Rattus norvegicus: one gene and its partners. The protein of the gene in region 1 interacts with the protein of each later gene in a pairwise test. Links are inferred from orthologs where the notes say so. Each region holds a gene or a part of one and is shown in the gene's direction. Other genes may lie near its edges. The genes, in order: Prkar2b, Taf12 and Kif5b.

The links.
Region 2: the proteins of Prkar2b (region 1) and Taf12 interact in binary tests that used the Homo sapiens proteins (3 or more experiments, as listed by UniProt). The two-hybrid records come from large-scale screens. The link is inferred for Rattus norvegicus from reciprocal best matches to the Homo sapiens genes PRKAR2B and TAF12.
Region 3: the proteins of Prkar2b (region 1) and Kif5b interact in binary tests that used the Homo sapiens proteins (3 or more experiments, as listed by UniProt). The two-hybrid records come from large-scale screens. The link is inferred for Rattus norvegicus from reciprocal best matches to the Homo sapiens genes PRKAR2B and KIF5B.

Annotation. Positions count from the first base shown.
Region 1 is NC_086024.1:54,290,598-54,294,516, reverse strand, and holds the end of Prkar2b (cAMP-dependent protein kinase type II-beta regulatory subunit), read left to right. Parts: intron 1-1,326; coding exon 1,327-1,460; 3' UTR 1,461-3,374; downstream 3,375-3,919. UniProt on the Homo sapiens protein: Regulatory subunit of the cAMP-dependent protein kinases involved in cAMP signaling in cells. Type II regulatory chains mediate membrane association by binding to anchoring proteins, including the MAP2 kinase.
Region 2 is NC_086023.1:149,755,626-149,759,729, forward strand, and holds the start of Taf12 (transcription initiation factor TFIID subunit 12), read left to right. Parts: upstream 1-1,268; 5' UTR 1,269-1,344; intron 1,345-1,389; exon of another isoform or gene 1,390-1,414; intron 1,415-4,104. UniProt on the Homo sapiens protein: The TFIID basal transcription factor complex plays a major role in the initiation of RNA polymerase II (Pol II)-dependent transcription.
Region 3 is NC_086035.1:56,198,877-56,202,526, forward strand, and holds part of Kif5b (kinesin-1 heavy chain), read left to right. Parts: intron 1-1,047; coding exon 1,048-1,152; intron 1,153-1,434; coding exon 1,435-1,580; intron 1,581-2,405; coding exon 2,406-2,554; intron 2,555-3,650. UniProt on the Homo sapiens protein: Microtubule-dependent motor required for normal distribution of mitochondria and lysosomes. Can induce formation of neurite-like membrane protrusions in non-neuronal cells in a ZFYVE27-dependent manner.

The DNA of each region.
Region 1 (3,919 bases):
AGCCCCTGAATTATTCTTCTTGATCTGAAGGAAAACAGTGTCTGTTTCACTTTATGCGAGGTACCCAAGCTTTGTCCTTTTTCCTGCAAATGACACAATTTGTTTTTCTTTATGGCCTGTGGCACTCCCTCATATATGTGTATTTTCTTTTTCTATTTGTTGAGGGATACTTAGGCTGACTCTGTAACTTGGCTATCGTGGATAGTGCTGCGGTAGACATGGGCAGGTGGAGAGCTCTATCGAATGTTGATTTTGACTTCTTTAGACATGTGCCTAGGACTGGTAGAGCCTAGTCATAGGTCTGGTTTTAGTCTAATGAGGAACTTCTGTAGGATTTCCCAGTAGCTACAGTAATGCATATTCAAGAGACCTTGCCAGCTTTTGTTGTTTCTTGATGACAGGCTACTCTTTCTGGGGAGGAGGGTAGATGGACTCTCAGTGTAATGCTAATCTGATTTCTCAGATGGCTAATGTTTTTATCTAGCTATGGGCTACTTGTTTAGAGAAGGAGTTCATTTGCCTATTTAGAGGCTCCGAGCACATGGCTAGGCCGCTTTCATTTTCATTCACGTGCCTGCCATACCATGCGAGAATGCCCATAAAGCCTTATAAACCCTCCCTTATTAACTTTGCCAATTTGAGAGAGCGTTTGGTATGTTAGAGCAGGGTGATGTTTCCCACTATGTATTATAAACTCGGTTTTAAAGTGCACGTGTCAGCCAGATTTGCTGTCTCCCCTCTGTAATTCCAGCACCCGAAGCTTGAGGATCTTGAATTTAAGTCCAGTTTGTTCAAGGTCAGCGTGAGCTACATAGTCAGGCTGCCTCAAAGCCAAACACTGAAATGCACAAGGCAGACAGGCAGGGCGGACAGGCAGGGAAGCAAGTGTTGATTGAAGCAGGTGAAGGCCTTATGAGTTGCATCAGCCATGGTATAAATGCGTAAAGCTTCACAGCATGATCTTGTAAACCCTGAGGACAGGGCAGGAGACGCTCCTGTACCACCATTGGGGTGTTTATATTATTAGGGTGAAGCATCAAAGTTCATCTTGCCGTGTTGAGAGCCTCATTTCCTCATCAGCTGCACCACAAGGCCACCATCTGTCAAAGCATTTTAGACTGTCGCCAGAGATGTCCCTATTTCGTTTTTCGAAGTTGAACATTTCAACTCCCCCCCCCCCCCCCCCCGTGTCTTCATAATACCTACCTGAAATTCTCTAGCACGGTCGATATATCAAAACTGCAACGGCGTAGTAGAAAGGAATGACCTAGCAATTCCTGAGTCTTCACGGGATGGTGTTTTTAATTTAGTTTTTTCTTTTCTCAGCCATGGATGTGCAAGCATTTGAGAGGCTTCTGGGACCTTGCATGGAAATTATGAAGAGGAATATCGCCACCTATGAGGAGCAATTAGTTGCACTGTTTGGGACAAACATGGATATTGTTGAGCCCACTGCATGAAGCAAAAGTGTGGGGAAGAAAGCGCGTTAGTGAAGCAGTTACATAGCAGTGGTTAGTCCACCGAGGATGTGTTCGTGTAGATCAAGCATTTTCTGTGACTTCAGGTTTTCCTTTTTTAAACAGAAACCATTTACAATATATCAGTGAACAGTAGTGATTTAATAGTAGGCTTTAACATCACTTTCTAATGGGTAGTTCATAAATTAACATAATCATAAAAACGACTTTCTATTTCATAAAACTGACTGAAAGGTTTATTCAAATGGTTATAATATATTGAGAGCATACATGTTTAAGAAGATAATTAAAAGATGTACTCATAGGCCGACCTGTGTGTTTGGATTATTCAAGTATCGTGTTAGTGACTCTGCCCCTTTACGAGGGAAGCTGGCAGTGGCTTGTGCACTCACATTCTTTTTATAACTCGTCAGACAGTAAGATTGCCAATCATTTCATTTTCTACCTTTTCTGGCTTAGTAAGTTATGTGTTAGCCTTGGCCTATCGGTAACATGGTGTGGAAATCATATGCAATTTTAAAATTTTTTATATTTTTGCAATAAACTACATTTCAACTTCTTTGACAACTGTCAGCCAGCAGCCTGGGTAGTTGAGTGGCTTTTGGGGCCTGGTAATTTAGCTGTTGTGATGATTGGGCAGAGAGCCTTTTAGGATGAAAGCTCATAACTGCGTCTTTCATTATCCTTTCTCCATCATCACCGCTTCCCGCTTTGTATTTAGCAACCTCCTGGGTTCCTTACAGATCGCATTTTGACGTTTAATGTCACAAGGGTTGTATTGGTTCTCAAGGCAATTTCATCTTAATCTGACAATTTGTTTTGTCCTCTAAAAGTCCCGAATCTTCTATTCAGAAAAATGAAAGCTTCCCTATCAAAAGACATTTGGGATTCTTAGCCCACGCCCACAGAACATGGCTTTGCTCTGTAGGTCCCAGTGCTGCGACCCTGTGTGTGTGTCTGTGGTCCCCTGCCCTTCCCTGTCCTGAGCACCAGCCAGCGAGCACATTGGTCAGCAGCCAATCAAGTGCGTTTGCCCTTTCCAACCTTCAAAAACTTCAACAACGGTGGTGGAAAGAAGTCTGTGTATAAGCAAAGCCATACATGAGTATTAATGGGATTTTTCTCTATCCTACACCTTATTAGGCCTTGTTCTTAGCTTTAAAGTCAGCCCACAGTTAAAAGTACACAAAGTACAAAATTTTTTTTGGTCAACAAGATACTTACTTTTATGCCAAATACGATGAATTGTTAAAACCAAAGCAATATACTTTTATGTGATTTTCAGGCCCCTTGACCAAATGTCTAAAGGCATTAATTCTCACCAGTTTAATTCATGTTGAAATGGGTAATTTTACTTTGGGGAACATGTTTCTAAGGAACAGAGGTATCATGTATGTTAAATTCATCTGTGACTGTCTCGATCTTACAAGAGAATGTTTACAGTCCTACGTGTACGTGAAAACGTGGCTAGTGTTAAATGCATCATGTGTAAACAAGAAGTTAAAGTACGCTATACTGTTACCTACACCTTTAGCCGTGCTTTTGAAATGTCAGTCTTGCAAAATCTTTACGTAGGAAAAAAAGCTCTCTACATGAAGGTAACATGTTTTCTATTTCAGAGTTCAGAAGCCATGTGTTCAAACAAGAAACAAATCCCAAAAACAGAAAAACAAGAACAAAAGCCACCCAAATTCCTGGCTCATCCTTCTGTGTTCTTTTCTCTCTTTTCCAAGTTCTCTTTGGTTGCATTGCATAGGCTGAGTGTTGACGTTCACGGAAACCAATGCCTGTGGAATAAAGAGCCCCAACCAAGGCTACAGAGGCCAGCTGTGTTATTTTCAGTATTGTTGGTTATATTTAAATTTTCCTTATAATAAAGCACACTTTTATAATAAATGTTGCAAGCATTGTTTTCTTCATTATGGCTTGTCTAGGGTATAAATGCATCAAACACACACCAGGCTCGTGGAAGCTATAACCCCATAGCATACAGCAGTCAGAAAGTATAGGTTTGCACCTCTGTAGGTCTGTGTAAGATTTTAACCACTTGTTAAGTTTTTTAACTATTGTGGTATGTTGCATATTATTTTGGCCAAATATGACTTACTGGGGAATTTATGTGTAAAGCTTCCCAGTTAAAACATGTTTGGCTTGTGGGTGCCATTATTAAGTCAGTAGCAAGTATTTGAGAATTCTCTGATGAGGTTTTGGTTCAAAGACCGCAGCCCTTAGGTACACGTGTTAGGCAGTCTTTGAGAACAAGATTCTTCATTTTGCTTTGAATATGTTTAGAAGGGTGTGTGTGTCTCTTGTTTATCAGTATGAATTTGGGCTTAGCACCTATGTTTTAACAACAATATTACCTGCAGCAGAAGTTGGATGACTCTGTTGGGATCCTGTTCACATTGGCATCCAAACCACATAGCATGTTTGGTTTTGTG
Region 2 (4,104 bases), on another chromosome or scaffold:
TTCTTACCTCTCGTGCACTTGCCTGTAAACTCTTAAAGACAAATTTGTCTGACTTCCCCCACAGGAAACACCCAGCACATAGCAAAAAAAAAAAAAAAAAAAAAGATGGAAGAATGCAACAGTAGCAACTGATTTGTTCTCTAAGGAGAACCATGATAGAAAAATAACGCTGAGGCTGGAGAGATGGCTCAGTGGTTTAAGGAATCTCTTACTCTCGAAGAGGATCTATGGTCAATGCCAGTTGCCACATGGTGGCTCACAACTATCTGTAACTTCAACTCCAAGGCTTCAGATGCCCTTTTCTGACCTCTTTGTGCACCAGCCATGAACATGGCATACATATATAAATGCAGACAAAACACTTTTACGCATAAAATAAATCCAAAATAAAAATCAGACTATAGTCAGTTTGCCACTTAATGGTAACTAAGCTCTTGCATCCAGGACTTTGGACCGGGAGGGTGGATGCGCCTAATAGGAAGAGGATGGAAAGATGGAATGGAATTTGTTTGGGCGGGAACCGTTAGTAGCTGAGATGTTAGACATGTATACATCGGTTTGCAAGATTTCCATTTTACTGAGAATCCTTGCCAGGGGCTAAAACCGCGTGTTGCTTACATGCCTAGCACTTGGAACAGGGAAAATAACAAAAAATGTACTCAAAGCTCAGGACTTAATGGTTTAACGGTTACTGGACCATCCCGGGCTTTGGAGTGAGAATTTTCAGTTCAAGTCGAGAACCTACATCTCTTAGGTAGAATTTCACACAAGTTTCTTCCACTAGTACATGACATTCCAAGTGAAGGACTTAACCACTTCCTCAGACAGCTCTCGTTCAAGTGTTATTGAGCTAGAAATTAAGTAATAGGCACAATCAGCCTCTCTAGTCCCCAAGTTCTCGAGCTGCCAAATAGTTGAAATCTATGCCGAACTGAGGTCCCATCCTCATATCACGACAAAGGCACCAACCAAAAATGGCGACTTGGAAGCCCTCCGAGGCCGTTGGTTACCTAGATATGAGTCGGAAAGAAACATCTAGGACAGGGATTCACGCCGAGGTAGGAGATGCAGTTGGTCCACCAGTCAGCCACACAACACACAGCAGAAAACACAACTGACCAGATAGGCGCTAGGCTCACAGCTCAACCACGTGCTGTAGTAAGGTCTGCGCCTGCGCTAGTCAGGCGCGCGCCCGGCGGCCGGAAGAGCCGCGCGTTTCCGGGTTGGAGGCGGGGAGCGGTGCCGGAAGTGCTTGGGGAGGGCCGCGCAGTCGGACCGGCTGCTGAGACGAAAGCTTCACTGGGGCAGTCTCCGCATATCATGGGGAGATAGACGCTGCTGCCTGTGAGTCTTGGGCCCTGGCAGTTGAGGATGAAGAGCGGGAGGAGGGTGTCAGGACCCAGACCCACAGCGGGTCAGTGCTGGAAGAACTAGGTTGTGGAAGAGACGGGGCTGTGAGGAGCCAGGCTCTTGGGACGGGACTTGAGGGGTTCGGGCTCGCAGAAGCAGCGGCTGTTGGGGACTCGGGCTCTGAATGAGACTTAGGAAACGGGGACGGATGTGAGTTCTGCAGCATCTGAGGGAAATCCTTCTGAGAGGGACACAGATGGTGAAGACCCTGTACTTTATAGGAAGCGAGGATAGGAACGAAACGGGGCGTGAAGACACCGGCTCCAGAGAGGTAAAAGTGGAGCCCGAGTCTCGGGCTCCTAAGAGACAGAAGCAGAACGGTAAAGTCCCAGCTCCTAAGGATTCAGAAACAGGGCAGCAAAGACTTAGGGACTGGAGATAGAAAAGCAGGCAGAGAAGACTTGAGTTTGAAAGGGAACAGAAATGGGCAGTGAGGACTGGGTCTTCTTTGGGGACAAGATCTGGGCTTTCAGACTCAAGAGTTTCTGAAGGGACAGGGATGTGAGGACCCGAGCTCCTAAAAGTGGAAGATCTAAGGGGTCCTTGAAGGCTGGGAGATCAACCTTCCAGGGAAAGAGGTTGAAAAGATTTAGCGATCTGTTCTCTGTACCCAGAGGGTTACGATATGTTCGGGGGAAGACTTCTTGGCGCTGCCTATTTGGCTTTTTGCATTTAGGCTGCTTCTTGTGTCAGATACTTAATCTAGAAAACCCACACAAAACATCTTCGTTTTTCTTCATTATTGTGAATCAGATATAAAGTTGAAAGCGGTTGAACTCAAATATATATATATATGTTACTTAAGCCCTATTCCATTCAGTCCCTGTGGAGCACAGATCTCTGCATCACAAGCAAACTGTCATAGATGGAAGGGCAGCAAAAGATCATTTTGAATTCTTTTACATTTCAGGAAAAGAGGGGCCAAAGAAAGATTAGCATCACTATGAGCCAATTCGGTTATACCGACCTCTACCATGTACAGCAAATAAGAGATGCTTGGTTGAAATTACTCGAATAAAATGCTTTTAGAATCTCTACCCTCAAACTCAGAAGGGATTTTTTTAATGGATTTTAATATTTTAGTACCTATTATGGCATTGTGTTACAATGTGAGGAAACAAACTTAAGTGAAACCCATTTTACTTACTTTTCAAAAATGTGTTGAGAAATTCACAAGTAAATGTGACCTAGAATATTTTCTAGGGATTGCTTTTAGAAGAGTGACTTGGACCTTGTCGTTTCTCTTCATAAAGATCCACGACTGAAACCTCCTCAGATGAATCGGGCAAAACTTAATCACTTTGGGTTTTTTTTTTGTTTGTTTGTTCTGTTCTCTTTCCTTCCCTCCCTCCTTTCTCTCTCTCTCTCTCTCTCTCTCTCTCTCTCTCTCTCTCTCTTTCTTTCTTTCTTTCTTCCTTTTTTAAGACAGTTTTTCTGTGTAGCCCTGGCTATCCTGGAACTCACTCTGTAGGCCAGTCCGGTTTCAAACCCCAAGAAATCCTCCTGTCTCTGCCTTGGGAGTGTTAGGATCAAAGGTGTGTGCCACCATGAACAACTTCAACACTTTCAAGCATTCCATTACTTTGTTATCACAATTCCACAGTTAAGTATGGTTAGTCATGTTGTACTATGTCTTATGTCCATAGAGGATAAGGAGTTTGTCTTAAACAGCATAGTATGGAGTAGCTTATCCCCAGATGTGCCTCTAAAACTGTCTTGAACTTTCCTAAGTGGACTCCCCTCCATGTGTAATTTGCATGTGAGCAAAATATACATAATATTTATAAAGCCTGCCACTGAATGAAAGCACACCCCTCCTCCCCCAACTATTTAGCTCCTCCTAGCCTGGAAATTGCTATGTAGACCAGGCTGGCCTCAAACTCTGAGAGCCACCTGCCTCTGCCTTCAGAGCCCTGGGATCCAAAGCTGCACCATCATACCCAGCTTCTTCCTTAACTCCTTTTAAAGTCAAGGACTGTGACGTTTAGGATACCTCCATAGTATTTGAGATCTTAAGTTCCTGTGTTTTCACAGAAGCATAGATATTCCAGGTAGAAAGAGAAATATTTGTAGACTCCTACAATAGAACAGGTTATATTTAATTTTTTTGAAAATTAGGGCGACATCATTAATTGCTAGTGTGTACTAGATGTGGACGCTTGGGCTAACATAGCCAAGCATCATAGTGCTTGACTGTGATCCCATTACATTGGAGGTAGAGGCTGGAAAATTAGGAGTTCGATGTCAACATGAGACTTTATCTCAAAGGAAAAAAAAAAAAAAGAAGCAGATCAGGTGAGGTGGTTCTTCTGCTGAGGTGATTGTCACAAAGAGGGATGATTTCAGTTCAGTCTCTGAGTCCTGAGTGATGGAAGGAGAGACCCAACCCCAAAATTATCCTCTGAAAAAGTTTTTTTTTTTTTTTTTTTTTTTGTTATTGTCGTTTTTAACATCCTTGAAGCTATTATTTTTCCGGTAGCTTAGCCGCTACTATTAGTTTTTAAGACTTTTACTAAGGGTGATGAGACTTGTACAGCCGGCACACGAGAAAGACCATCCACAAAGCAAAGGGAGGATTTGTAAAGCTAAAGCCTCTGGTGCCATTTTTTTTTTCTTTTTTCTTTTTTTCGGAGCTGGGGACCGAACCCAGGGCTTTGCGCTTGCTAGGCAAGCGCTCTACCACTGAGCTAAATC
Region 3 (3,650 bases), on another chromosome or scaffold:
TCAGTCACCTGTTCCCAAGTAACTGTCATTTAGCTACATTTGGTCCAGTCTGTAGGGTGTTTGGATTAACATGTATGTTCTTATTGATAACTTGTTAGCATATGCCATTAGAATTTTATTCTTTATCTCTTGTATGTTACCTCTATCCGTGGTAACTTTCTCTGTGACATTCTGATTTGGCTTTACCTTTGTCCCTTGATATCATAAAGATTGATTTTAGGATCTCTCACACGATCCCTCATAAATATACCAACATCCATAGATGCTCAGGTCACGTATGAAATGATGTAGTGTTTGCATAGCCCCTATACACATTCTTCTGTATGTAACTACTCTCTAGACAACTACTGATACCCAATGTAGTGAGACCACGCAGGTGGATGTTAAACTATATTGTTTAAAGACATGGCCAGAAACAAACCATATGTTGAGTAAAAATGAAGTTTGTTTTGGAATGTTTCTCAACCTTGGCTAGTTGAATCCATGGGTATAGAAGGGTCAAAAATTAGAATATATAAATGTTTTAATAAAGACTTCTGTGGCCATTATGCTATTTTGCATCTTCTGATTTAGAATGATGTACCTAGTCTTGTTCACCAAAAGTCTTACACACAGCTTATGTATTAGAACCACAGCTCTTATTTAGGAGCCATTTAGGTTTAGTCACATGTTAGCTTATGTAGTATTAGAACTCTCTTTTATTTTTAGCAAATTATGTCTGTGTATGGTTTAGGTGATTTCCAGTTTGTTGTTTTATAATGTAGTAAAGAGATAACAGTGAAGACTACAGATTTACATGTAATTTTATTATTGACCAAAGCACACTAGAAATAAAATTTAATATTACTCTAATCGCATTCTTGTCCAACTAGTTCTCTGACTAGGCTATTAGAAGAATAGTGGGTATTTAAGGATTTCTAGTCCTTAGTGTGAACACCCTTCCCTTTTGTAATTTTATACTACTGTTTATTGGTGGCTATTTGGAAAGTTGAAAGAAAATTATCTTAAACTTAGAAGTTTATCTCATTATTATGTAATCTTACATAGGTTAGTAAAACTGGAGCTGAGGGTGCCGTGCTGGATGAAGCTAAGAACATCAACAAGTCACTTTCTGCACTTGGAAATGTCATTTCTGCTTTGGCAGAAGGCAGTGTGAGTATACAAGTCTGTTCCCTTTTTTATGGGTAGTTATTTATAGAGAATATACACAAGTGTAAAACTGAATGAGTGTGTGATGTCTTCTGAGTTTAGTGTTATACAAACCCACTCCCATCTTGAAATCAAGTAGTTACAATAAATGAAATAATCGAGGCCTGGGAAAGCATATCTGATCACAGTGCCTGAGGCAGAAACAGGATGACCAAAAGTTACACAGCAAATATTATTGTATAAACCCTACTATTTTTGTTGTTTTGTCTTTGTTTTTATTTGTAGACCTATGTTCCTTATCGAGACAGTAAAATGACCAGAATTCTTCAAGATTCATTAGGTGGCAACTGTAGGACCACTATTGTCATTTGCTGCTCTCCGTCATCTTACAATGAGTCTGAGACAAAGTCAACACTCCTCTTTGGTCAAAGGTTTGTTGAAATACAAAGCCTAAAGACATAGCATTAAAGTTACTAATGTCAGATAGCCACTACTCAAATCCAGACATACTGTCAGAGAGCTAGATCCTGTACTGTGAATCAGGACATAGGTCATATAAGTTAGAGCTGTATTTTAGACCTAACAAACTTTAACTTTTCACAGACATTAACATTAATTGAGAAATTTCATTGTCTAATTTTCTTCTGATGAAAGTAAATGTCTGAGTTAGATGACGAAGTAAAAGCTTTTCAAATATATGAGCCTGTGTGAAGCTCACTGACACACTTGAAGGCTCGATTAACATACATGAAATAGCTACTTTGTGAAAATCACCGACAGCCTTATCTTAGACCTGCAGGGATAGGTAACGTAGGTTACTGCTTCAGCCTTGCCAAGTGAGTTGGCAAAATAAATATATTTTCTTAGTTTTGATTTTTTTTTTCAAAGATTTATTTATTTATTCTATATAAGTACATTGTAGCTGCCTTCAGACACACCAGAAGAGGGCATCGGATCTCGTTACTGAGGGATGTGAGCCACCATGTGGTTGCTGGGAATTGAACTCTCCAGCCTGTTATTTTTAGTGTTACCAAAGATTGAGTGCAGATAGAAATTTATTTGTGAATAGATATTTTTTTAGAATTTGTTCTAAGAAAGAACTAGATAATCTTGAACAATTTGTTACTTAGCTATATTATGTATTAAACAGGAATGTCACTTAAAAATACTTTCAGTCATATCCTTTTTTTTTTTTTCTTTCTGTAATGATTACTCTTCCTTACACATGTCATCTCTTCTGTAATTGCATCACTAAGGGCCAAAACAATAAAGAACACAGTCTGTGTCAACGTAGAGTTAACTGCAGAGCAGTGGAAAAAGAAGTATGAAAAAGAAAAGGAAAAAAATAAGACTCTACGGAACACCATTCAGTGGCTGGAAAACGAGCTCAACCGATGGCGTAACGGTAATTAATCACTTAAGCATTGTCATTTAAACTTTCTCACTTAGGGCTCTTTTACATACTTGAGATTTTATATGAATGCTAAATAAAGCCTGTTTTCATGTAGAGGTCTTCAAATAAAGATCAAGATGTGTCATTTAAATTTTATGTTGTCTCAAACAGTAAGTAAGAGCCGTAGATGCTAGAGTACAGTAGGTGCCTAGATTAGGAAGAGTTCAGTAGCAGGTAAGCATGTCCAGATCTAGGACAGAGCTCTGTGGTATAGGCCTGTGATCCCAGCACATGGGAAGTAGAACTGACTCTACATGGCAAGAGTGTACCATTCTAAAAATCAAACAAAACTTAGGATCAGAGCAGAAAGAAAAGCAGCTAAGAGCTGCTGACGTTGCTTAAGGAAGAGGCACAAAGGATGGTGAGGTGGGACTCATTGCTTATCACCCCTTATGGAAACATTCATTTCAATAACAGGCGAAAATAGAACTTGATGTGGTTTAGTAATAAAGTTTCAGTGTCCACAAAGGATGCTTCTAGATTACTTGTGTCTCCCTATTCCTTAACCAAGATACAGAGAAAGATAAGGAAATTAGTGTACCTTGGACCCCAAGACTAGGGAAATGCCCTCCGCTCTATACATGCCTGCAGCCTTGCCTCACTGCCAAGTGGGAACTTGCAGCCTCAGGCTTCTTCTTTTTTTTTTTTTTTTTTATTTATTTTTTATTTATTTATTTTATGTATATGAGTACACTGTCTCTGTCTTCAGACAGAGTAAGTAGGTGGTGACATCAAACATGATAGTGATCATTGAGGGAAACAGGGCACCACAGACAGAGATCAAGATGAAGTGCCAATGGTTGATCCTAAAGAAACCGAGATGAGTGAACACCTGAGATTGAGAGTAAAAACTGATCCTGCACAGAAAAGCAATCGAAGGAAATGAAAACAGTAACCAGAATGAGAAATTTCTGATACTGAAGTACCTTTGAAAGCGCAAACATATCTGCTTAAAATGGCAGTAGGGAACACCAGCCACATACTTTGTCACAGCAGAAGGAATGTGTGGGAACTTGCAGAGGGAAAGAGTAGTTAGTTTTAGATACAC